Drosophila melanogaster: one gene and its partners. The gene in region 3 interacts genetically with the main gene of each other region. Each region holds a gene or a part of one and is shown on either strand. Other genes may lie near its edges.

Region 1 (9,354 bases), on a different chromosome or scaffold from region 3:
ATCAGTCGTAAACTAAGGACAAAATCGTAAAAACGGAGCAGTTCATTTAAATTTTTAATATTTAGGCTACCTTCAGTGGCAGCATACCCCACATTCCCCCCCATTCCATTCCGACCGTAACCTTAACCGTATCCATCATACCGATTCACTTACTTTTGTTTTATGATCCGAACATTTTCGACCATCATCTGTGAGCAAGAGTCAGAATACACTTAACAAATCTGCGGATTACTGCTGCTATAAAATCAGTGGATTTCTCGAAATCTTTGTACCTGATATAGTATGCAATGCTACCTTACTATTCAATTTAAATATTATATTTCCAATATTAAGTTATTATGATACCAAATATTTGCCAAGTGTTTTAAGGGGCCAACCCAAAACGAGTATCTTTCATCGTTTTGAATTTATGCCTTTAATTAAATACAAAATCTACCTAGGATTCATCTTGCTGGGCAACTTTTCTGTGGCATTCCTTTACTTAATAACAGGCCATCAAATAGAGTTGTATTTCTGTGGGTTATATTCATGCCGAGCATCCTCACCCGCCACGCCCCCTTGCGCCTCCTTGAACACGCACTCAGGATTTATTTCCACATTTATATGAGACTGCGGGGGGTGCGGTGCGGTGCGTTGGGTTACTGGAGAGGGTATGTAAATTTTTCAGTAAAAATTCACTTCGTGATAATGGATTTTCCATGTCGCATACGCCGCAGTCGTCGTCGACGTCGCTGCCTGCACGACAAATACAATCTGCTCCAGGGCCTCCAACTGAACCCCCCCCCCTCCACGCTCCCCTCTTTTACAACTGAAAATCCAGCCCCAACTCCATGGCCTCTCCACAGCAGCCAGGGCGACAATTACCTCCCCCCAGCATCCTGTGGAGCTCCTGTTCTGGTTTCGGGTTTGTTGGGGCATGATAGATGACAAGTCTCGGTAGGTGTACGTATGGGTATGGTTGTTTGCTCGCCAAGTTCTTGGGCACTTGAGAGTCCCCATCCTCGATCCAGCATGTTCTCAAATTTAGATTTTCATCCAGACCAAAACTCATGTGGATACAGTGCCAACTGGCGGTGCACGAACTGCTTATCTCAGAATAATCCATATATTCTAGGGTTTCTACTATTGCCAAATGTTTATTATTTATATATCGTTTACTTTCTTGCTCTTAATATACTTTTCATTCGTATGCTAAAGTTAAATAACCAACTAAATTATCAGGAACATCAAATCCAATCGAAATAGTTTCCAAAATACTTTGTAAACAGAAACAATAGAGAGCGACCACTGTACATGACTTTTGACAGTTCGTGTGGGCGGCTGCTAAAATATGCAAAAATTTATACAAAGTTGGCAAGATTTTTGCTTTCGCTTTCGCTGGGAATCAAAGGCAGCCCGGCTCTGATTTAGATTTTGACTTGGGCATCATTGGTTGGCTGGCACCACGACCTCCGTCCCTTCTATCTGCCCTCTGCCATCCATCCATATATCACCTCCCCCACACCCATATCGCCTCCTTTGTGGTCTCAATTAGGTGGCCCGTTTGAGGCTCGACTTCCGCTCGTCGTGGTGGCCTCGTGTTAACTTGGCCATGTTCGCATACACACTACCAAAGGAGCCCGCAGGCCAAAAGGGAGCGTCATTGCCAGAACGAAAAACCAAAATCGTTCGCATGGGTCTCTCTTAAAGGACTTTCTCCCTTGAACGCGCGCTCTTCGATGGCTCTCTTCGTCGGCAGGTGGGAATTGTTTGTTTGTTTTTTTTTTCTTTCTTTTATTATTATTAAAGTTACATATGAACTTAATTGATAATGAATTTTTTTTAATCATTTTTCTTTGCTTTTTTGTTTGTTTTTTAATAGTTTTATTCGCTTTTTTTTATTTAATTTTAATCAGTAATATTAAATTTGTTGTATTTCCTTATTTTCTTTTTTATAATTTTTGTTTTTATATAAATCGCTGGCCCGCCCCGCGCTTCCCCCATCGCAATGGCGTTCGCTGCTGCTCCTGCCACATACTGCTCCTACTTTTTTGCTGCTGCTTCATCGTTATCTTCCTGCTTTGTCGGTCGTGGGTCGTCTGCTTCTGCTTCTGCTGCTGCTACCGCTGCTGCTTGCTTATGCTGCTACGTCCTGGCGTTCGTCCTTTCGTCCCGTTTAGTCCTTTGTCAGCCCCTTCCGCCCACACACACATCACGTCATAATCCATGAGTCCATCCATCCATCACTCCTGCTCCCTGGCTTTCTGCTGCGACGCTTAGTTCGTTATTTTTATAAATTAACAAATTTAGCTAAGTAGTTGTAGTTCTTCTTGTTGCTTGCGGTTTTGTTGCTTGGTTTCTGGGTTGGTTGGTAGGTTCGATTGGATTGTATCATTTCTGTATACTGCTTCTCCTTCTGCTCCTCCCCTTTATCTTTGATATAAATTTTCTGCCTGCCGCCCCCGCTGGCGACATTTCCGGTTTTTTCCTTTTCTTTTAAACTGTGGCCAACAACAATAACTGTTCAATGCATTTTTGTGTTCTCGACTGTTATGGTTACTTTTTTTTTCTTTGTTTATACAATATCTCTTCCACTGCTCTCTGTTTAAAACGACCTCCACAAAACAAATGCATCGAGGTTTTTAGTTTTGGGTTGTTTTTTATGGTAGTTTTTTTTTCGACAGCACTTGCCATTTTGTTTATTTTGTTGCTGCTGGTTGGATTTGTATATATTATATATTGTTTCGGTTCTTCTTGTTGTTATAATGCGATGTAATATGTGTAAATGTAAGCTGCGTAGGTGCGAGCAATCCAGCTTAAAGGAAATAATCGGGTGTTCTTCGCGTAACATGAGGCTCCCCGCGCCTGGGTGCTGGATCAAATTGTAGGCTAAAATAAATGCAAACGATTAGATTAGTCAGACATGCCGCATTTAAAGGCAGCTCAAGCGAATTGCCACTCACAATGAAAATTTAAGTGAATCATCCAGTTCCATAAGAGCCGCTTGGTTGCCACAGCGGTAGCAATAGTTTGGCGCTGAGAATATTGTGACCACATTGCGATCGTGACACCAGTTGTAGCCCTCCATCACCAGCTGATGGGCGCGCGACACCAGTGTCAGGCCGTTTGTGTTGTTAAAGGTTTCCGAAATATCCTTCAAATAAAATGGAAATATTAGTAAAAATGCTTATAGAAGTAATTGGCTCTTTCTCAATGAAATTCGATTTGGATAGTTAAAATTTGTTTTGTAGTTGACGGTTTGAAATGTCAAAACAATTTATAACGAAAGCTCTTTCCATTGATTGCGTTATCAGTTGGGCCTATATCAGCAGTAGACTTCGATTACTGATTATTGATTTTCATCAAGTGCATGCCCCGATAAAATTTCCTATTAAGATCAATAAAAAATTTATCTAGAATATATTTGCATGCTTTTGAGCAGACAATTTTTGTTCAGCTTAGTTTTAATCGGGTCTTCAGATGTATTTCACTTAACAATTTTACAATGTGATTAAAGAATAAATTTCCAAGTATCCAAGCTAGGCAAATCAGCTCCGAATTTTATTGAGAAATAGCCAACATGCAGACAACACTCACCTGGCCAAAGGTGTAACCGGCGCCACGAGGCGAGATTCCCCAGCCACCCCTGTCATCGGGATCGGACCAGAGCAGATCGCACATGGGACCCTCGTGCGGAACCTCCTGCAAGCGATCGAGGGCCCGAATGTGATCCAGACTGTCGATCGAGGGACTGAGGCCTCCGTGCAGGCAGAAGATCTGCCCGTCGACGAGTGCCGTCAGTGGCAAGTAGTCGAACAGATCCGTGAAGTACTTCCAAACGTTGGCATTGCCATACTTGCGCAGGCACTCGTCGTAGAAGCCGTACACCTGTGTGATCTGGCGCGACTCGTGGTTACCGCGCAGGATGGTGATGCGCTCGCGATAGCGAACCTTCAGGGCCACCAGAAGGGTCACGGTCTCCACGGAGTAGTATCCACGGTCCACGTAGTCGCCCATGAACAGGTAGTTGGTGTCCGGAGACTTGCCGCCTATCCGGAAGAGCTCCATGAGGTCGTGAAACTGACCGTGGACATCTCCGCACACTGTCACCGGGCATTTTACCTCCTGCACATTGGACTCCTTGGAGAGAATCTCCTTGGCCTGTAAAGAAATGGAAACAGTAGACCAATCAGCAATTTATTTATGGATATTTTTAGGGAGATACGTTTTAATGTTACCTCCCTATTCGAATAACCGAATAAACAACTTTGAATACCAATATTAAAATACTGATTAACATAATCTAGCCCAAATCGTTTCCAGGGTCAGAAAAGATAAATAAAACGATTAGTACTTTGTACATTATTCACTATACTTAATGACTCAACGCCAACACTCAAAGTGTACTCTAAAAATAGCTTGTAACTAGAAGAGAAATTAAAACAAATATATTGGATAAGTGCATGCGTTTTTTTACAGAGAATCGAGGGAAATAAATATCACTTGTTCTCTTTAAACATCCCACAAGAAATTTTAATGGCATCAAAACTCAATCTCTTGGGTAATTCTGAAAATAGCTTCCCGCAAAACCCTATAAAACTGTGTACCTAAACATTGCTACTTCCTATAAGAAAAACATAAACATGTAGCAAAATTTCCGGAAATTACAAAACATTTTTGTTACGTTTGTGTGTAAATAGTTAACCAAATGAAAGTAATATGGAAACTTTGATGTTCTATTTTTTCACCTGCCATAATTCGGTGAATGGTGAATGACATGACAGAATATCTGCGAAACAGAAAGTACTGAGAAAACCGAAAGTGATCCGCATGTGCGGATGATAAAACCTTGTCAAAGGCCAAGGTTATCCGTCAAGATTTGGTCAACAAGCGAAGAACCTCAACTATTTTCTCATCGAATTTTGCGTCAGTTGCAAACAAGTTTAAGTTGCTAATATAAGCTGTATGAAAATCAAAACAAAGGAAGCAAAGCTTTTTAATAAGTTGAGATAAGATGAACGTACGATAAAAAGTTGTCCGTATAAACATAACAAATTCACGATTCTGGAAAGTATTCTATCGTCTTTAGTAAAATAAAATATGAAGGTCGATTCAAAAATTCCCGATGGGCGTCAATATACAGCATCAAAAAAACCGGTTTTTACAAACATAAATGTGCCAAAATGAGCAAACAAAAATTGCACATTTATTTTGACCATTCCGCCGTGTTCTTTGCGAATTCTTATATTTATCAGCTGACGAAATGGGACATGACAACAAGTTCCGGGGGTAGAATCCGGCGGCGCAAATGAGCGATTTGTGCGTGAGCCAATTAGATTTTTTGCCATATGCACAGCATTACCTTGGAGGCTGTTGCTTCCGCTTGGCCAGAAATCGAAAAAAAAAAAAAAAGAAAAATAATTTTTGAACTCATGACGAGGCCAGCGCACCCATACAGATGCATGCACAAACACTGATGCAGCTTGTGCTCTCTCCGCGTACTCTCCGCTTTTCTTTTCGTAGCAACGGGAAGGATGGAGAGAGGCCGCAGAAGACGCACCCGAGAAGAGCGAAGAACGTTCTTCTCGGAGGGAGAACGGAGATTCAAGATTCTAATGGGAACACTGACAAATATTTGGGTGACGCAAACATAACCCCACTTACTCCTAAATCAATGAATCGTTATCTGTTCACCCTCTCTTTTTCTCTCCCTCTCTTGCACTCTTTTTGCTTGTCTGTTTGTTTGTGTGCGCGACGCGCCTGATGAACGGTAAAATCGGCAAATTAAAAACAATTGATATCAAAAGTGTTTAATTGAACATGGTTGGTCATAAAAAAAGGAACACAAACACCAATGCAAGTGCATTATTCTAGAATTGAGATACGACGGTACATAGATACATATTCTAGGGGCGCGCACACACCGACGCACAAAAACATTAAGTAATATTTACTCAGCAACGACAAAACGCGCATGAGGTTGCACGGAGCGGGGGTGCTCAGTTTCCGGTGGACACAATAACAACAACATTAAACACGCACAATGCACTTTAGTTAAACAATCAAATTGTACAATAATACAAAAAGAAATATCTCTTTTTGCCCAGGTTTAGCCCATTAGACCAAAGCGCTGTTCTAGCTGTCGCATTCACGCACGCACTTGCCCGTCCCGTTGTCCCGCTCGCACTTGTGCGCGGCAATGCGGCGCTTGGCTGTTGGAATTTACCAATATTCCAATATGGCGACGCAAGCCGCCGCTACTGTGCGAGCAAGAGGGCACGACATGAATCATGCTCTCGCGCTCTCCGCTCAGCGCCTCTCCCCATTGGAAAGAGCGAGAGGGCCAGAGACACGCAGCGTTGGAGCACCATTTGCAAAAAAAAATCGCTCGCTCGCATGCAATGACGAAAATTATTTTTATAACATCTCCTAATTCGCATGGGGAAAATGGGCAAGGACCGGGCCTTACCTTGTCGCAGAGGGTGCGAACTTGTGTCTCTGTCAACTGATTGCATTCGTTCAACTGCTCAATCCATTGATCAAGATCTTTTGTTGTTGCTTTATCCTCCATCGCAGTTGTGGTGGAAGAAAAAGTCTCGTCAATCTTTGTCGATTCAATTTTGACGGCTTTTATTATAACTCAGGGGTGCAGGAAAATTAGCAACTACTGTTGCGTTCGATTGCCAACCGCGTATTCACTCGTTTATCTCCACACAATTGCCAATCGAATCAACTCGATTTGGGCGATTTTCTTCGTATTTTTTGTTCACAAAAGAGACGACGACACGATATACGAAGGGAAAGACTGCCCTCGGTGTGACCGATTGCCGCGAAACGCTTAAGAACGCGCTGTGTGTGTGTGTATCGATTAGCGATGCATGCTTGACATTTCTACAAAAATACCGACTAAAACTTGTGGATGGTATCCTTACTATTTGGCCAACAGTTACCAAGTAAAACTAGAAAATAAAGTGGGATCAACGCTCACCGTTTTTTTTACATTATTACGTGATAGTGACAAAATAAAAGTATGTACATAGGCATTTGGGCAACAAGATATTGGGATTGTTTTAAAATCCTTTAGTAGTCTTTTCATAGATGTGCATTAGCGTCGATTATTTCTTAAATAATAGCACAATTTGTTTTAAAACTAAACTTCAATATTTCTGGGGTTCTTTAGATATAATAATATTAATACTTGGTGTAAAAGTATTTATTTTTTTTATATATATTTTAAAGTTTTTGATATTATTATTTGACGTTACATTTTACACGTATTATTTGTAACAGAAAATTCAAACTATCGATAGTTTTGTCCTGTCCAACACTGAACGCTCGCTGACAGTTGGCATCTTAGCGAGCACTGGAACCGGAACTGCCTCTTTTTCTGCCAGCTTGCAGCGCCTTTGGACGTGTTTCCTTCGCGCTCCGTAGCAAATAATATAAACTCAAGATGTCCGAGACCCTGCAATTGCGCGGTACCCTCATTGGCCACAATGGATGGGTCACCCAGATCGCCACCAACCCCAAGGATCCCGACACCATAATTTCGGCCTCCCGTGGTAAGTAATCGCCATTGAAATTCTTCGGATTTATCTGGTAGCACGTGCGTATATTAATGGCCACCATCTCGATTCGCAGACAAGACCCTGATCGTGTGGAAGCTGACCCGCGACGAGGACACCAACTACGGCTACCCCCAGAAGCGTCTCTACGGACACTCGCACTTCATCAGCGACGTGGTGCTCTCCTCCGATGGCAACTACGCCCTGTCCGGATCCTGGGATCAGACCCTTCGCCTGTGGGATTTGGCCGCCGGCAAGACCACCCGTCGCTTCGAGGGACACACTAAGGTGGGATAAGATTCCAATTGCATTTAGTTCGTTTAGGGAACTGAGATTTTGAACCGATCTGTACCGGCAAAAGGCTAAATGTAAGGTTAGGAGTGAGGTTAGGCCCGCCTTTGCCGCGTACAAATCGAAAAAATATATATTGCGCCTATGCGAGGCAGAATTACTGGTTGACATCTGTACGACGTACGCTTCACCCTTCGCTCGAGTCTCGGCTATAAATTGCTTGAAGCTCCATCGTAAGTAGGCAAACAATCTCTGATACCCATTGATTCCTAATTAGTTGCAAGAAACCCATCTGGATTCCGTTCACTGACTAATTGAGTTGGGACTATGCCCATTCAGTTGGTCAGTGAAATATCCAGTAAATATATTATTTTTATGAAAACCATACCAATACCATTAGCTAATCGTCAAATGCTTGTTCGCTTTCTAGGACGTTTTGTCGGTTGCCTTCTCGGCCGATAACCGTCAGATCGTGTCCGGCTCTCGGGACAAGACCATCAAGCTGTGGAACACCCTGGCTGAGTGCAAGTTCACCATCCAGGAGGATGGCCACACCGACTGGGTGTCGTGCGTGCGCTTCTCGCCCAACCACTCCAACCCGATCATCGTGTCCTGCGGCTGGGATCGCACCGTCAAGGTCTGGAACTTGGCTAACTGCAAGTTGAAGAACAACCACCACGGCCACAACGGCTACCTGAACACGGTGACCGTCTCGCCCGATGGCTCCCTGTGCACCTCAGGTGGCAAGGACTCCAAGGCCCTGCTGTGGGACCTCAATGACGGCAAGAACCTGTACACTCTGGAGCACAACGACATCATCAACGCCCTGTGCTTCTCGCCCAACCGCTACTGGCTGTGCGTGGCCTACGGACCCTCGATCAAGATCTGGGATCTGGCATGCAAGAAGACCGTTGAGGAGCTGCGCCCCGAGGTCGTTTCGCCCACGTCGAAGGCCGATCAGCCCCAGTGCCTGTCCCTGGCCTGGTCCACCGACGGCCAGACTCTGTTCGCCGGCTACTCCGACAACACCATCCGCGTCTGGCAGGTGTCTGTTTCGGCTCACTAAGCTACTGACCTTTGTAACGGGCGTCAAATTTGTTTAGCTAAAACAAAAATAAAATTTAAGCGTCCTTAACTGAAATTTGTGTATCTTGTAGCGGCTGAATTAGTTTTAACTTTAGGCTTTGGGCTATAGAGTTTTCTCCGGATAGATGGGAATAGTATAAACAGTGGGACAATTTAGTTTAGGCAGAAGATAAGTAAATGTTAATAAAGAAAACATTTTATATAAACTTTAATCGAAAGTGGATGTTTTTAATCCCTAAACTACAAACCAGATCATTTCATTGAAATCCAAAACGAATAATGTTGAGAAAAACAATTAGAAATTGAATTTAAGTAGCAAAACGAAATGTTCTCGTTTCGTATGCATTGTTTTATTCGTAAAAACATTTCGACATTTAGAAAATGTTTTCTTTTACACGTATAACAAATAAATTAAATAAATAGTTACGTGATG
Region 2 (6,286 bases), on a different chromosome or scaffold from region 3:
CGCAAAAGATAAGAACATTACACAAAACAGAGTAGAAGTTGTAAGGGATAATATTTGTTGTTGATACTTGTCATATGGAACCTGTCCGGCGCGCATATTAGTTCGAGTGCATACCTTGTTTCCTACCTTAGTCAATGCCTCCATGCGTGCCTTTAGCTGCTCTTCCATGTCGGGCTGCAGCTTGGCGTGCTGGGCGAGCTTCTGTTCGGAGAGCTCCAGCTTCTCCTCGATGGCCCCGATCTTCTCCTCGTGCAGCTGATTCGGATTCGGCATTGATCATATGGCATGGATTGGTTGTGGTTCGTATTTGGGGCGGGTGTTTGTTCGATTAGTTGTCGGGGGGAATAGTTGCGTATGTAAATGCAATTGATTAGTCACGCTTAAGGGGAGCTTAATGAAAGAGCAGGCTAGGGCACAATTAGAAACAGAGTGGATCGATTTTTTACAAAATATCACAGATGCTATACGAACTAGATTTCGCTGCTAATTTTATTTCATTACTCTAGCATACTAGCGATAATTGCTTGACTTGTAAGATCATGAAAAATTTATCTGCTATTCAATTGGAAATAACTTTACAGTAAGGTAATGAGTAATCAATGGATTTTTTTGAACAAATGGACTGTGCGCTTATCGAAATATAATAAAAAAAAATCGATCCTCATGAATAAAAGTAAAGATATGTATGCCTGCCTTAACCATAAGCTGTAATTTCCTTGGTTTTACCCACCTTGAGCTGCGCCTCTTTATGCCGTAGTTCCTGCTCGAGTTTCTCGTTGAGATCATGCAACGATGTAGACTCCCTCTGAGCATTCAGGTATCGCTTTTCCAATGTGGTAATGCGCTCCTCCTAAAAATGAACGTATAAGTAAAAAACTGAAACCATGCTGTGAGTATTATTCACTCACCTGATCCTCTTTCTGGGCAACATTCTCGCGCAGATCCCGCTGCAGCTTGGCACACTGGTCTTGGGCCTTGCAGTGTTCCTTTTGCACTCGCGACATGTTCTCCTCAAGCTCACTAATCTTGTTGTTCAAATCAGAAACGCGTCGCTGCCATTGTGAAAGTTCCGAGGTCTGACAAGGAAAGAGCGTTTTAAAAAGTGTTCACCATATGCAGACTGGAAACAGATCCGCAATCTTCACCTGCTTCTCAATAATGGTTTGCAGCTCGTGGGTTTTGGCTGCGTAGTCGTTCAGCTCATTTGCCTCGCCATTAACGCCACCAGATCCGCCCACGCCCGCCATCTAGGGTATTGGAAAATAGAAGAGATATATTAAACCGGACATGCTTGACTGCATTTCGAATGTGGAACGCACCTTCTCTTTGAGCCCGTTCTCGGCGCCCCCACCACCGGCGGTGGTTGCGGCACTCCCTGCTCCGCTGCCACTGCCCACGCCAGCTGGCACCACGCCCGCCTTGTACTGGGCCAGTTCCTCCTTGGCAGAGCTGAGTTCCTCTTCCATCATGTTGTTCTTCTCGATGGAAAGCCGCAACCGCTCGCGCACCTTCTCGTCCAGCGCCTTGTGGTGCTCGAACAGCGACTTTAGCGCCTTGAGCACTTCCACCTCGCTGGAGACGCCGCTCTGGGCGGCAGCCTGTCGCTTCACAACGGTCATACGCAGGGAACGCTCGTGGCGGGACACCAAGCACTCCAGATGTTCGAGGAGAAGCTGAAATAGTCAAGTTAGATCATTAAAAATATATTATTTCACGCAGTAACCGACGTTTAAATTGTCTCTTTAAAAGTAAAATTACCGTAGAAATTTAATTAAAACTGATTTTCTTGATATTCAATGAAGCGGAAAGGACTTATAAATACAGTTTACTTCACTTTTTATGGTTTAAGACGGATGTGAATACAAAGAACTAATTCTTAAAAGGCTGTAACAATGTTTGTATAGTCACTGATAAGTAAACAAATAGACAAGCCATGTTCGAAATAAAAATGAAGACGGACAGAGTAAACTTTTGTATTGTTCCCGGTATATGTGACTAATTCGCAAAAGCAAGTACCTACAACTGTTTCTTGTTTGAATAACAATGGGATATGTAATTTAGCAATGGCTATAATACCTAAATTAATAAATTAGTCTAGCAAATCTTGTCATGATCTACCTGATCTAACCATTACTCAATTGTCTCAGTAATTGAAATACCAAGGATCTAAATTTTCGAAAATCACTTACCCTGGTATTATTCCTCTCCGCCTTGAGCTCCCCAATCTCCTCGTCACGTTCCAAAAGGGTCTCCCGCGCTTGCGTCAGCTCCTTGGTCAGGGTGGCAAACTCCTAGAAAGATCAGGAAAAGATTTTAGGTAAACTGCGGTATCAGCATGCAGAGGCCACTTACTTGCGGCAGATTAGCGTTAATCTGTCGCTGCAGGCTGTCCCGCTCCTTCTCGACGTCACGCAGCTTGTTCTCCGTCTCGTTAAGCCGCTCCTGCGCCTCCCTCAGGCTGTCCATCAGCTTGTCCCGCTCGTCCAGCATGGAGACCATCAGCTGCTCAAAGTTGGCATCCTCCCCGCTAAACTGCGAGGAGCGCTGCGAGATGCTATCCTCGGATATCGTGGGCATTACGTCGCACATCATGTTCCACATTATTTAGTTGGGGCCGCCAGACTGTGCGAGACAGAGAGGGGAATAAAGGTTACAGGATTTTGGCTGTAGGTACATTTTGTGCGGAGATTGTACCACTATCGCTGTTACCGAAGCACAAAAACTAGACGCGTTTTTCTAAAGTTTCTTGAATTTGATCCTTGATCATAAATGAATTGGCGTGATTGAATTTTTGTCTGTGATTCCGCATATGGGAGATACTTAATGCTGTAGCTTCTTCTGCATAAAATCAAATTCTTTATGTTAATTGAATTTATAAAGTAAATTCAATTAATTCATACAAAATGTCCATTCTATGGAGTCCGGATATTTTACTACACACACACACGTTCGCTAGCCATTCCAATTGAAATACCCAGCATAGTGGGAGAAACATGTCTAATGAGACTTATCATAGGCGCCGCATTGATAACAAGTTTTCTACACCAACACATACGCACACTGTCGCAGGCGGGGGCACACGCACGGCATACACACTCACACGCGCACGCACACAGGCACAGTACTTTTTCTCTTTCGCATAACTGGCATATTTTGTGTGCCTAGGTGTGTCGCTGTCGCATTTTGCAATCACATATACCCGAAACAGGGTTAAACGAGCAGCAGGTGCGAGCTTACGCCGCTTTTAAATGCGTTCCAATGAGTTTTTCACCTGAAATTTCGGTTTAGTGGGACGGCGTTCGTGTGAAAAAAAAGAGGCTGCGAGAAAATCGCCTCGTACTCCTCGTTACGCCGGAACACGTACCCCGATCGATCGCACGGCGGCTGGGCAGCAGCAGCAACAACAACTCTGGCCGCTTTTTGCCCTTCGCATAGGTGTCCCGGCTGCTTTTAATTAAATAAACCGAATTCCAAATGGATTTTTTAACGATGAGAAACTGGTCAGTGTTACCAGATGGCAAAACGGCTAAAATCCGTAAACCAACCCTGGTTCTTCACTACAAAATGTACTACATTTCATGAATTTTTTCAGTGGTTCTATTTCGTCCAAAAAATATAGAAGTAAAATGTGTTGTTTTAAAGTTTTTGTGGCAGTCTATTTATGTTCAAAGCTAAATTATATGCAAATATTATTGCCGATCAGGAGTTGCCATTTGACCTATCGTCAAGTATTAGAAAAATGTGTACTAAAACTAATGCTGCCACACCGCACAAAGAAAACCATATCTAACAAATATTCAAACTACATGTAGGCGCACAACTAGACAGTCAAAAAAACTTATCACTTTTATCTGAAATTATTTTGTAACTTCCGTCATTTAAATGCAATGCTTCAACAGCTACACATGTTTTTGAAAAAATTACATTGTTATGGTGCCTTACAGACAAACATATTTAGTATTTATTTATCTTAATTAATTTGCAATTCGCTTTACAGCGATTAAATTATTCGATAAGAATCATTGCTCTTATACGAGCTCATGTGTTATCGATGCTTGGAAGCTAATAAATAAATCATCGATGGTGTTGAGCCAGTAAAAACATCGATAGCACCATACAAACATCGATTTTGGTTCCAGCTCTAGACATTTGTGTTTTATTTTTTTTAACCGTGAAATTCATAAGTAAAACCGACTAGCATTGGTATAAACTGCTGCGGAAGCACTCAGTCAGCGCCAAAGAACGAATACAATGGGGTAAGACCGATGGGCGCGGCCAAACCGGCCTAAACCTGCCGTTTTTACTGTGGGAAAAATCGACGCCGAACTAGCTGACATCTCCCCCCTATGATGTTGTTGTTGTTGCTGCCGTTCTGTGTGTAGCGGGCGGCGTAAATACATACATATATATGTACACAAACATACACCTACACACGCACACGCGTGGGCAGGCCAATTACATGTGTGTGGGTGTGCAGGTGTGTGTGACTGTGCAGGTGTGTGCGTGCGTGTTTTCCGCCCGAGAATCAAAAATCACAAGCAAGGCTGCGGAAAAGGCTTAGCACATAATGCAATTTAGTCGGCGGTCGACAGTCGCCAGCGATAACGGGAAGACACAAGTTATAGAGCTCAGCGAACGATGTCGGCGGATAGGTAATAGATAAGATATATATATGTATATGTGTACAAATAAAGGCACTGGAGGCTACCACGGATACGGAATTGATTTGATGGGGGCCCTGCGCCCCGCAACAAACTGTCATTGCATCAGGCCAGATCGCAAAAAACAAACATATATCGACCTACTTTATCAAATAAGGACCACGAGGATTATCCTGGGACTTAAGGACTACTAATTATAAATGCATTACACAGTGCCTGTTGACTAATAAACCACAGTAAAAGAATGCTTTGCCATAGTTTACTCACACGAGCACAGAAGCACAATTTATTGCCTGCTCTAAATGGAATTTTTAATTAATCACACGCTTGTCGCTTTAATCCCTTTATGACCCTTAGCGAACAACCGATTTTCACCTGCCAGGCGCACGTCTTCCACATCGATCCGAAGACGAAGCGCACCTGGATCACGGCCAGCATGAAGGCGGTCAACGTTAGCTTCTTCTACGACAGCTCGCGAAATCTGTACCGCATCATCAGTGTCGAGGGCACCAAGGCGGTGATAAACTCGACGATCACACCCAACATGACCTTCACCCAGACCTCCCAGAAGTTCGGCCAGTGGAGCGATGTGCGGGCAAACACGGTGTACGGCTTGGGATTTGCCTCAGAGGCGGAATTGACCAAGGTGAGTGGTTAGCATATGTCTCACATATTTATATACTAATCATATCGCTCAACAGTTCGTAGAGAAGTTCCAGGAGGTCAAGGAGGCCACCAAGAATGCCATGAAATCGGCCAACGGATCGAATGCCGTCACGCCCACCACCTCGGCGAACACGTCGCCCATTTCCGGGAGAGCTGTGGGCTCCATGCAGAACGACAACACAGCCATCGATCCGCACACTGTGGAGCCGCCCAACATGAGCAACACGAATACCCAGAACGCCAATCCGGACAGTCCTTCCCACAAGCTTCTAAATACCAGCGATGTCAAGGCGGACATCGGATCGGCCACGCCCTCGCCGCAGCCCACTTCAGGGGTAACTGGTGGCGGTGGAGTGACCATCTCGTCTGGCGGAAGCATTGTGGGCATGCACACGGGTCCTGGAGCCGGCGCCACCGCCGAGCAGCAGCTTAAGTACGAGAACGAGCGTCTGAAAATGGCACTGGCACAAAGGTAAGCAAAGCGTTGACCGTCATTGGCTCAAGGCAATAATGCCTTCTTTTCAGCTGCGCCAATGCCAAGAAATGGGAAATCGAGCTGGCTACCTTGAAGAACAACAATATACGGCTGACTAGTGCTCTTCAGGTAAGCAATAAGATAAGCTCACATTTATTGAAACTGATCGTTTTTGGCCTTTTTCTCCCAAAGGAATCAACTGCCAATGTAGACGAATGGAAGCGCCAGCTGCACACTTACAAGGAGGAGAATATTCGCCTCAAACGAGATATGGAGCAGCTGTGCGTGGGCGGCGGGGTTGTGGCTGCAGCCGGAGGAGGCGCCACAGAGGACGAACTGCGTCGTGAGGTGGCCACGCTCAAGGCGCGGACAGAACAACTACAGAAGGAACTTATGCAACAGGAACTTGAGCTTAAGTCGGCCAATATTAGCCTACGTGAAAAGTCCAATGACCAAACGGTGGGTAAAGCATAATAATCATGTT
Region 3 (9,462 bases):
AAACTTATTAGATTTTAATTTTTTTAATTTTAAAAAATGATTTTTTAATTAATTTCATAAGTTTTTTTATACGAAATATGATGCATTTAATTATTTCTTTAAATAGAGGAAATACTCTTTATTTAACAAACGATATAAATAGCATTTAATGACCTTGTAAGTGGTAACAGTAATCTAGCAATCTTTATTGCTTTTCAATTTTGGTTTACAAATCGTTATCGTTTCAATTATATTACCTTGGGTTCTACTTTCTGATAAGACTTTTGCGATTGAATGAATAGATTGCCCTAAATCCTAGATTTTATACGATTTCCCGAAAGTTTTGTGTCAACAAAAGACGGAGTTGATTATACAAATCTTTATACTCACATGCCTGTTATTAACTAGAAGAACTTTTAATGAAAATTTTTTACATTTTTGTCTCTCCAACGACAAAAATATTGAACATTTGCAATAAAACATAAAGTATAAGGCGAGCACTTTGCTTTTTGAAACTGCCAAAAAATTGCCCAATGAAATGCTTTAAAAAATACATAAATGTTAGTGCCTGGAAAATATATACATATATGCCACCACCTGATTCCCTGGTAGATGCCAGCAATATAATCCTATACGTGTATGGAGAGCCTACGGAACTCCAGCTTCCTGATCCCAGAGCACATTTCAATGTTCGGCATTACTAAACTCAGACTAAAACACACCCACAGGCAGCTCAACTTAGGCGTCAAGGATTCGCACAGTCCAAGGTAAAAGCGATGGCCGGCCAAAATGGCAGCGAGGGACCATCCCGAACTGAACTGCTTTGCTCTGATTTTGCAAGTGCTACGTTTTGAGTATGCTTTTTATTTGACCGCATATTGCTTTGCATTCGTTGTTAAAATTATTTTCATTTACTAAGCATAAGCCAAACCGTTGACATGGGAAAAGATAATCAGATAAGTGTCATTTATGCCCCTTTGCAGGCTAACAAACTCAAGGACAACACACCACCGTACGATGCACCGCCGCCCACGCCGATCAGCAAGGTCCTGAACATCACCGGCACCCCGATCGTTCGCAAGGAGAAGCGCCAGACCAGCGCCCGGTACAATGCCTCCAAGAACTGCGAACTGACGGCCCTCATTCCGCTAAACGAGAGTGAGTAGCCTTGGAGTAGATCCTACTACTTAGTATATTACTTTATAATACATGTACTGCCAGCTGTTCAGATCGATATCTCTTAAGCCTGCAGATCGGTTGCATGGGGTAGAACTTGGTCGTAGCCATGTCGTAGCATACATTTTAGGGCAGGGTTCCGTTTAGGCGATATAAAATTACCTTTCTTACTGTCTACCAACATCGTCAATTAAGTTTTTATGCAACTATACACTCAAAACAGATTGTATAAATCGTAGTAATTCCCATTAACGATGCATAATTACATATATTATGTCAATTAACTCCGGTAAATTTCCATGATTATAAGTTCAGCTTTAACTTACAAGAGGCATTCTCTGTAAAGTGTACCTACGACCTGCAAGCTTGTTGGGAATATTGATTGGCCGGCGCTTGATTAATTTCGCTCAGCTGTTGTAATTTGTTTATTATTTGTTAAAGTTAAAGGTCAAGGGAGTGTCGTCTGATTAGGTGGGTGGCAACACTGACGCACGGCCACTCACACATGTGAACCAAGCAGCCGCATCAATTCACACCTCTCTCCACCTCTCTCACTCACCGGAATTTCAACACATGCGCTCTCTCCGCAGCCTCTCATTACACTGGGAGAAAGCATCGTTAGAGGATTTCTCAGACCGTCTTAAATTTCATATATACACCGGCATTTCTTTATGACACAAATGTATTCGATTGATTTAAACTTGTGTATACAAATAATTAGAAAAACTGTATCCTGCAGGGAATTAATTTAAAAAAAAGCAAATTCAATATTTTTGAAAATCATATATGTACATATCTGCGCGTAATGATTATGAAATTGCTACACTTTTTTTTTCTGTGCAGCATGAATGTCATCGCATTGCGTTATTCACATACCTTTCTGCTAATTGCTTGGGCGGTTTCGACTCACAAATCGAATAAACAAATTTCGCTTGTTCAATACTATTTTATTTTATTAGGTTTTATTGTTATTGTGGCTCGCTCGCCCACCAGCCCACTTTCTCTCTCTTTATTTTCTCTCTGTCTGCTGCTCACCAAATTTCTCTCCATTTCATTCTCTCTCGATATCGATTTTTCCGATTGGCGCAGCAGTCGAAGCAACAAAAAAAAAACCGTTTCAAGACCGTGAACGTCGTGTGCCCCGAAAACTTTAATATTAGTTGAAAATATTCGTTTCCCAAGTTAATTGCTCTCCTATCCTATTCCCTCATTTGTTCCCATTCGAACCGTAAGTTTTTCCACGTAATTATGGCCATTTGTGAGGCAAAAGAAGAATTTTAGCAGAGGCGTTGTCATTTCCATTTTCATTTCCAATTGCATTTCATTTCGTTTTGTGTTACCATCAGCGCATAATCGCATTTGGCGTTAATCTAAACCATTATCTATATTGCAATTCCATTACAGATTCTATAGTTTCATACTTAGCGTGCCCAAATTGAGTTTCTAGTGTAGTCTTTCTCATGTGTTGTTGTTGGTCGGCGGGGGCGGCTGGTAAAAAAAACAAGCGTTCCGTATCAAGATTAAAACCGAGTGCCATTTGCTCCAAGTGCCGGCACTAATGAGATGGTCTTCGGTGCTATGTTGCTGACGGGCAACGGGCTCAAAGGTCCCAAACAGCAGCAACAGCAACATCAGCAGGAGCCGCAGCAGCAGCAGCAGCAATCGCAACAGCAGCAGCAAGAGCAAAAGAAACCGGCGCCCATTAAATCCTCCAGCAAGGAGCAGGAAACGCAGCCCATTGCAGCCGGGTATTATGCCCTCGGCATACGCATACCCAAATCTCCATCGTTTCACAGCGGCCTAGATCAGCTGGCCGACGACGAGTTGGACGATCAGGTGCAGGATCAGCAGCAGGAGCAGCAACAGACCGGCAGCCGATTCAGGTTTAGCAGCGTGGAGGAGCTAAAGGCCAAGTTCGAGGGGCGGAAAACGCCCCTCTCACCGCCAGAGGCAGCAGCAGGAGGAGCAGCCGGATCCGGAGCACCCACCACATCCTCCTCACCATCGTCCTCGTCCACCAGCTCCAATTCGTCGGCCTCGGCCCTGTCCTCGCTTTCACAGGCGGCCTCATCCTCGCTAGCCTCGGCGGCTGCTAACTCCTCGGCCTCATCCTCGGCCGCCACATACGGTGGTGGAGCGAATTCGGCTGCAGCTGCACTGATTGCCTCCTCGCCATTTGGATCGCAGTCCTCCACTTCTTCGCTCTCGCTATCCTCGAATGCCGGCATGTCGAAGAACGCGGCAGGAGCAGGATCTGGATCTGGATCTGGAACAACGTCAACGGGCGCTGCTAGCGGCAGCAATTCACTTGTGTCCACTTTGGCACAACATTTCTCGGCGGCCACATCCGCCGCAGCATCGGCGGCAGCCGCTGCGGCATCCTCTGCCTCGGCGGCGTCCTCCTCGTCAGCTTCCTCCTCATCCACCGCCACCAACAACGCAGCCAGCAGCTCCATCGCCGCCAGCAAGGTTTGCAGCTTGGTCTTGTCCACATACACACACACCCAGCGATCTGAAAACCCAAAACATAACCACATCACCACCTCCAAGTACAAACCACAAATTTTACACTTTCTTCCAAACTTTCACTAATTGTGTTAGCTTTTTGGATAACGATAACTAAGTTTCAAAGAAAAAAATAACAATTCAAGTACCTTGTTAATCAAAGTTTTATTTACATTGTACGCTAGAAGCTAATACATTTAGTAGCATCTCACACACTATCCACCAACACTAACTCCATCCCAATTGAACAAACCGAAATTTGATAAACCAAAACCATACTCTGCTCTCATTTCATCGCTTCCTCATCATCCAGTCACCTGTGAGCGCGGCCGCGGCCATAAAGAACATACTGAATGCCACCAAGAGTGTGGGTACTAGTGCTGCGGCGGCGGCAGCAGCGGCGGCCACCTCCTCCTCATCATCCCCATCCTCTGCGGCGGCTGTGCCGTCGTCCGCCGCCACCGCCGTCGCCGCTGTTCCCACCACCAGCGATGTGCCCGCAGAGGAGATGCGTCCGACGGTGGCCCAGAATCTGGTGGGCGGCATTAGCATCTCATTGGGAATTGGCCAGCGCAATGGCGGCGCAGCACCTGCGTCATCAGCAGTAATGGTGACACCTAACGCCACCATGGTGGTGACCACATCGAGCCTAAGCATCCGGCAGAACGGTGACATACTGCCGGGTCATCCGGCGGGTCTTCAGCCCTCGCCCCAGACGCTCCAACAGCTGACGGGCAGTCCGGGAAGGGCTCGCGACCGGAATCTATTCTACACGCCACCCACCGCTTCGGTTGCCATGGCGCTGCCTGCACTGCGAGGTTGCTATCCCGAATGGATCCGGGCCAATGGCGATGGATGGAGCCATTCCAGCCATTGCCCTTGGGCCTGAGGTCCTCCGGCTACTTGATCCTTTCTTCCGATCTTCATTATGTTCGTTTTGAGTTTCGCTTGCCTGCTTTTGGTTGGTCGTTTTTGTAGTTGTAGGTTTTTTTTTTTTAATTTTATATTAAGGTCAATTTTATATGGCTTACATTTTGTTTGATATATCTATCACTTATATTATATATTTAAAAAAATTAATGATGATTTCATTTGTATTTCCATAGAGACCGCCGCCAGTGAACGTGAGGAGCTGTTCATACAGAAGATCCAGCAATGCTGCACACTGTTCGACTTCTCCGAGCCGCTCAGCGACCTCAAGTTCAAGGAGGTGAAGCGGGCGGCTCTGCACGAAATGGTCGATTTCCTCACCAACCAAAATGGCGTAATAACCGAAGTTATTTACCCGGAGGCGATCAATATGGTAAGCTACTAATTTACATATTTAAAATAATATCACATGCTTTTACCACAACATACTTATCTGTTCTCATCAGTTTGCTGTCAACCTTTTCCGAACTCTGCCGCCATCGTCCAACCCGAATGGTGCCGAATTCGATCCGGAGGAGGATGAGCCCACGTTGGAGTCCTCGTGGCCGCATCTGCAACTCGTTTACGAGCTGTTCTTGCGCTTCTTGGAGTCACCAGATTTTCAACCAAGCATGGCAAAACGTTTTATCGACCATCAATTTGTATTACAACTATTGGATTTATTCGATTCGGAGGATCCACGTGAACGTGATTTCCTGAAGACTGTTTTACATCGCATCTATGGAAAATTTTTGGGCTTGAGAGCATTTATTAGAAAGCAGATCAACAATGTCTTTTACAGGTGAGCTCGTCATTGGAATATCTATAAGGTTAATGCCTCACATTACTAATCGCATTCCACATTTAGATTTATTTATGAAACGGAGCATCATAATGGCATAGCCGAATTGTTGGAAATCCTGGGTAGCATTATCAATGGCTTTGCTCTGCCGCTTAAGGAGGAGCATAAACAATTTTTACTTAAGGTATTGCTGCCATTGCACAAAGCCAAGAGCCTCTCGGTCTACCATCCGCAGCTCACCTATTGTGTGGTGCAGTTCCTGGAGAAGGATCCTAGCTTATCGGAGGCGGTCATCAAGTGAGTAAAGAATTCCTTATTTTGCGCATTTTCTAATTAGCCTATCGCTGCCATATTTCAATATTCTTGCAGAAGCCTACTTAAATTTTGGCCCAAGACGCACAGTCCCAAGGAGGTTATGTTTTTGAACGAGCTGGAGGAGCTGTTGGACGTAATTGAGCCGGCCGAGTTCCAGAAGGTGATGGTGCCGCTGTTCCGCCAAATAGCCAAGTGCGTCTCTTCGCCTCATTTCCAGGTGGCCGAACGTGCGTTGTACTATTGGAACAACGAGTACATTATGTCGCTGATAACGGATAACTCGGCGGTGATATTACCCATTATGTTCCCAGCGCTCAATCGCAACTCAAAGACGCACTGGAACAAGACCATCCATGGTCTGATCTACAATGCACTCAAGCTGTTCATGGAGATAGATCAGCGGCTTTTTGACGAGTGCAGCAAGAACTACAAGCAAGAGAAGCAGATGTATGTGTTAACTTTAGTTGATAATTAACTTCCATGGGACGATGCACTCACGTTTTATTACTTTGTACTAAACATTGGCGTTTTTTTTTTTTTTTTGCATTGCAGGGAGCGTGAGAAGCTGTCGCAAAGGGAGGAGCTCTGGCAACAGGTGGAGAGCTTGGCCAAGACCAACCCGGAGTGGACAAAGGCGCGCCGGTTTAACGACTGCCTGCCGGTCAGCGACAGCCGGGCCCTGTGCGATCAATATAGTGAGAACAGCGATTCAGCGTATGATCAGAGCGAGCAGAGGGCGCGCCAGCCGCCGCCTCCGCTGCCGCCACAGAAACAGGCGCACCAGGAGCCCCGAGAGGTGAGACAGGCACTTGCCACATTAACAACACTAAACAACTACTAATCCGCCACGTGTGATCCTGGCGTCGCTGTGAGCTGTGCCCAGCTAAGGCCCACTCTGTTTCAACTCTAATTCTAATCGAACGAATGTCTGTTAAAATAATCACACTCATGTCATTTAAAAAAAAAAAAATACATATTTGTATATCTTTAACTTTGTCTATTTATTTATTAATTATTTGGTAACCTCACTGTCTGCCAAACCAAACGCATCCATGCAAATTCATCCACGACACAACAACTTTTCTCCTGCACTTTTGGTTAACCGCATACGAATTGGGCGGAATTAATATGTAGTTTATCTTACTTAGATGTTAATTACACTTTGGTCCATCTTTTAACTCATTTGTGGTCATTTTAATGAGAGAACGCGTTCCTTTTGTAACATCAATATGATTCTCATTTATTAATTTGAACACTTAACATAATTTTCCTCAAGTGAATCACCATTTTTAAGCATGAATCCCAGTTAGAGTAAAATCTGTGCACATAACTATTAAAAACTAGTGTCAAATGTATCATGTTGTTAACAACTCAGAACCAGAAACCATACAACACTCCTCGATCTCAGACCTTTGTAACACAATTCGACATTCGGGTGTAGATGTATATATATATCGTAGTCGTGTGTTGTCCAACTGGTGGTCATCGAGTTTCCATCCAGCACCACAGCACTCGATATCGTAACGCAATCATCCCGCACCACCGTGTAACTTCACCCGCCCAGTGTGTGTGTGTGTGTGTGCTGCGATGCCTTAGTGTCAGAAGCGGGTCCATTTTCTATTGCCAAACCCCCCTTCCCGTTCCACACAGATTCGTGGCGAACGGAACAAGGACAAGCCGCTGCTGCGCCGGAAATCGGACCTGCCATCGGACAGTGGAACCGTGAAGGCGCTAAACGAGCACAAGCGGACGGATGAGTACCTCACAACGCCGCCGCCGGATGGAAACTACTAGGAGAGAGCTGGCCAGCCGACGCCACCAATATTCGTAGCTCCAATGAGGAGGATAGTCAAACCACAGAACTTACCCAAATAGACCTACACACTCCAGACTAAGGCCAGAAAGCATACATATATAGAAGCACAAGTCCAAGTCCAGAGATGAAGGATAGAATCCGCACAACTAGAGAACAAACAATTTTGAACGATGCATTTGCATTTGGGGGCTTAGAGTGGGGGCGTGGCAACGGATGCAAGCCAATTGCTATATATATATACACATACAAAATACCTATCTTTAGTGATCATGCATAGTACCAATAAAGATCAAGAATCCCCAACGAGATCGATTGTCTAGCTCCAATTTCGTTTGCATATGCATTTCAAGATTACCCTTTTGCTCCAACGCATGCCACAGTGAAGCTTAGCCCTGAATGACCTTCTTATATATATTCTTATTTCTTATATCTTTTACCCAATGCATGTTGCTGCTAGCGTTGCTTTAGCTATAGCCCTATCAATTAGATCTAATTGTGCAATAATCTGGTATCACAACTATGCTCTTACCATTTCAGTAAACGCGTGAATATAATTGTACAGTTGAATTTGAATTGTCTAACTTAAGGCGTAGGCGTTTACCACCTTGATTGAGTACATATATATCCCCCGATTTCTGCCACATGCATACATAGATAGCTATATGACATCCAGACATTCATGCCACATGCCACTATTATACACACATACTATATAAAACATGTTTACTACTCCACGACTCAAATTTGCAAATATTGTACGCTATTTAGCCTAGCAGTTAGAGCAGCATACCCATAATATATTTATATGAAACAAATCGCCCAGCAGGACACATAAATTGTGGTATGTATGTGCGTGAGTGTATTTTTGTATGTACTACCTATTAAATATAGAAATATATATATATATATATGTGCGGAGAACCGTGTTCCTGAACACCGATCAAAAGGAATTAGGCATTTTTGTTTGTCCTGGACTGGCCGTGGATGATCCTGCGGACCGCCAAGGAATAGAGATGTGCCAATTTCTGGTCCACCAAGCACAGTTGATAACCTATAAGCATCCTTACAACGTCACCACAACAGACTGGGACAAATTGCTGGTCGTAGCGTCTACTTCTATACGTTAATCTATATCTATATGTTAAACTGTAATTTTGGATCCGTGTCAACCAGTCGTTTAGTTCCATAGTCAAGTCATTACCGGGTCCGTTAGACAAGGATTTATGCAGATACTCTCAACTAATCTAGAATCTAGACAAAGGCGACGAAGCAGATCAAAAGAGTTTTGCTACCACTACCAAGTGCTGTACACGCCAAAAACGAAAGGCTTCAGTTTAGCTATAGACACAAATATATATATATATATATATATTATATAAAGAGATGTATTTACATATTTTTGGCATTATAGATACATACACAATGTGGAAAATTGCAAAACAATAATATGGGTGGAGAGGTAAAGGGAAAGTAATTCTTAGAAAGGCAGATTTTTTCATACAGGAAACGGTGAAAATCAAACTTTTCAACATAAGAATTAAACATATATATATATATGGGAAAAACAAAAACTATAAAACATTTACTAAAAGTGAAAACAATAAATGAAAAATGAGTTATACACCCTTAAAACAATATATATGTGCAAATTGTAAATGGAGCATGTAATTTTGTAAAAATTATAAATAAAAGTTTATCAAGTCGAGAACTTTTGAACTTAAGTTAAAATTGGAGACAATTTACAGAGCTGACGGCCTATTTAAATACAAACTAAATACAATTATAGAAACTAGATCAAAATCCGGATGGATAAAGATGTCATTTGGCCACTTATTGCATACACTCATTTCACTGGAACTTTTCTGTAAGTCCTCGGGTCTTCATTGCCATTTCCGACAAATGTTGTTGCAATAACCTCTTGTTGACCTTTTCCCTGTGAAAAAATTTATAAAATTAATAC

Evidence for each region.
Region 1: of wrd (region 3) and mts, changing one enhances a phenotype caused by changing the other (phenotypic enhancement), as found in Drosophila melanogaster (one study listed by BioGRID).
Region 2: of wrd (region 3) and Liprin-alpha, changing one suppresses a phenotype caused by changing the other (phenotypic suppression), as found in Drosophila melanogaster (one study listed by BioGRID).

What each region holds. Positions count from the first base shown.
Region 1 is NT_033779.5:7,825,248-7,834,601, reverse strand, and holds mts (microtubule star), read right to left. Parts: upstream 6,953-9,354; 5' UTR 6,551-6,952; coding exon 6,449-6,550; intron 4,141-6,448; coding exon 3,577-4,140; intron 3,134-3,576; coding exon 2,943-3,133; intron 2,869-2,942; coding exon 2,796-2,868; 3' UTR 1,026-2,795; downstream 1-1,025. Other genes in the region: Rack1 (receptor of activated protein kinase C 1), read left to right, coding at 7,433-7,541, 7,621-7,832, 8,266-8,901.
Region 2 is NT_033779.5:6,721,163-6,727,448, reverse strand, and holds the start of Liprin-alpha (Liprin-alpha), read right to left. Parts: upstream 3,547-6,286; 5' UTR 3,365-3,546; exon of another isoform or gene 3,272-3,364; 5' UTR 3,056-3,271; intron 2,623-3,055; 5' UTR 2,602-2,622; coding exon 2,353-2,601; intron 2,292-2,352; coding exon 2,190-2,291; intron 1,674-2,189; coding exon 1,320-1,673; intron 1,248-1,319; coding exon 1,146-1,247; intron 1,077-1,145; coding exon 909-1,076; intron 851-908; coding exon 731-850; intron 256-730; coding exon 115-255; intron 1-114. Other genes in the region: homer, read left to right, coding at 4,639-4,652, 5,019-5,307, 5,363-5,799, 5,853-5,931, 5,995-6,261.
Region 3 is NT_033777.3:18,170,567-18,180,028, forward strand, and holds wrd (well-rounded), read left to right. Parts: upstream 1-2,277; 5' UTR 2,278-2,383; intron 2,384-2,559; 5' UTR 2,560-2,718; coding exon 2,719-3,624; intron 3,625-3,973; coding exon 3,974-4,478; intron 4,479-4,766; coding exon 4,767-4,963; intron 4,964-5,036; coding exon 5,037-5,371; intron 5,372-5,437; coding exon 5,438-5,668; intron 5,669-5,740; coding exon 5,741-6,133; intron 6,134-6,238; coding exon 6,239-6,482; coding exon of another isoform or gene 6,483-6,527; exon of another isoform or gene 6,528-6,675; intron 6,676-7,336; coding exon 7,337-7,480; 3' UTR 7,481-7,809; downstream 7,810-9,462. Other genes in the region: cdm (cadmus), read right to left, coding at 9,351-9,435.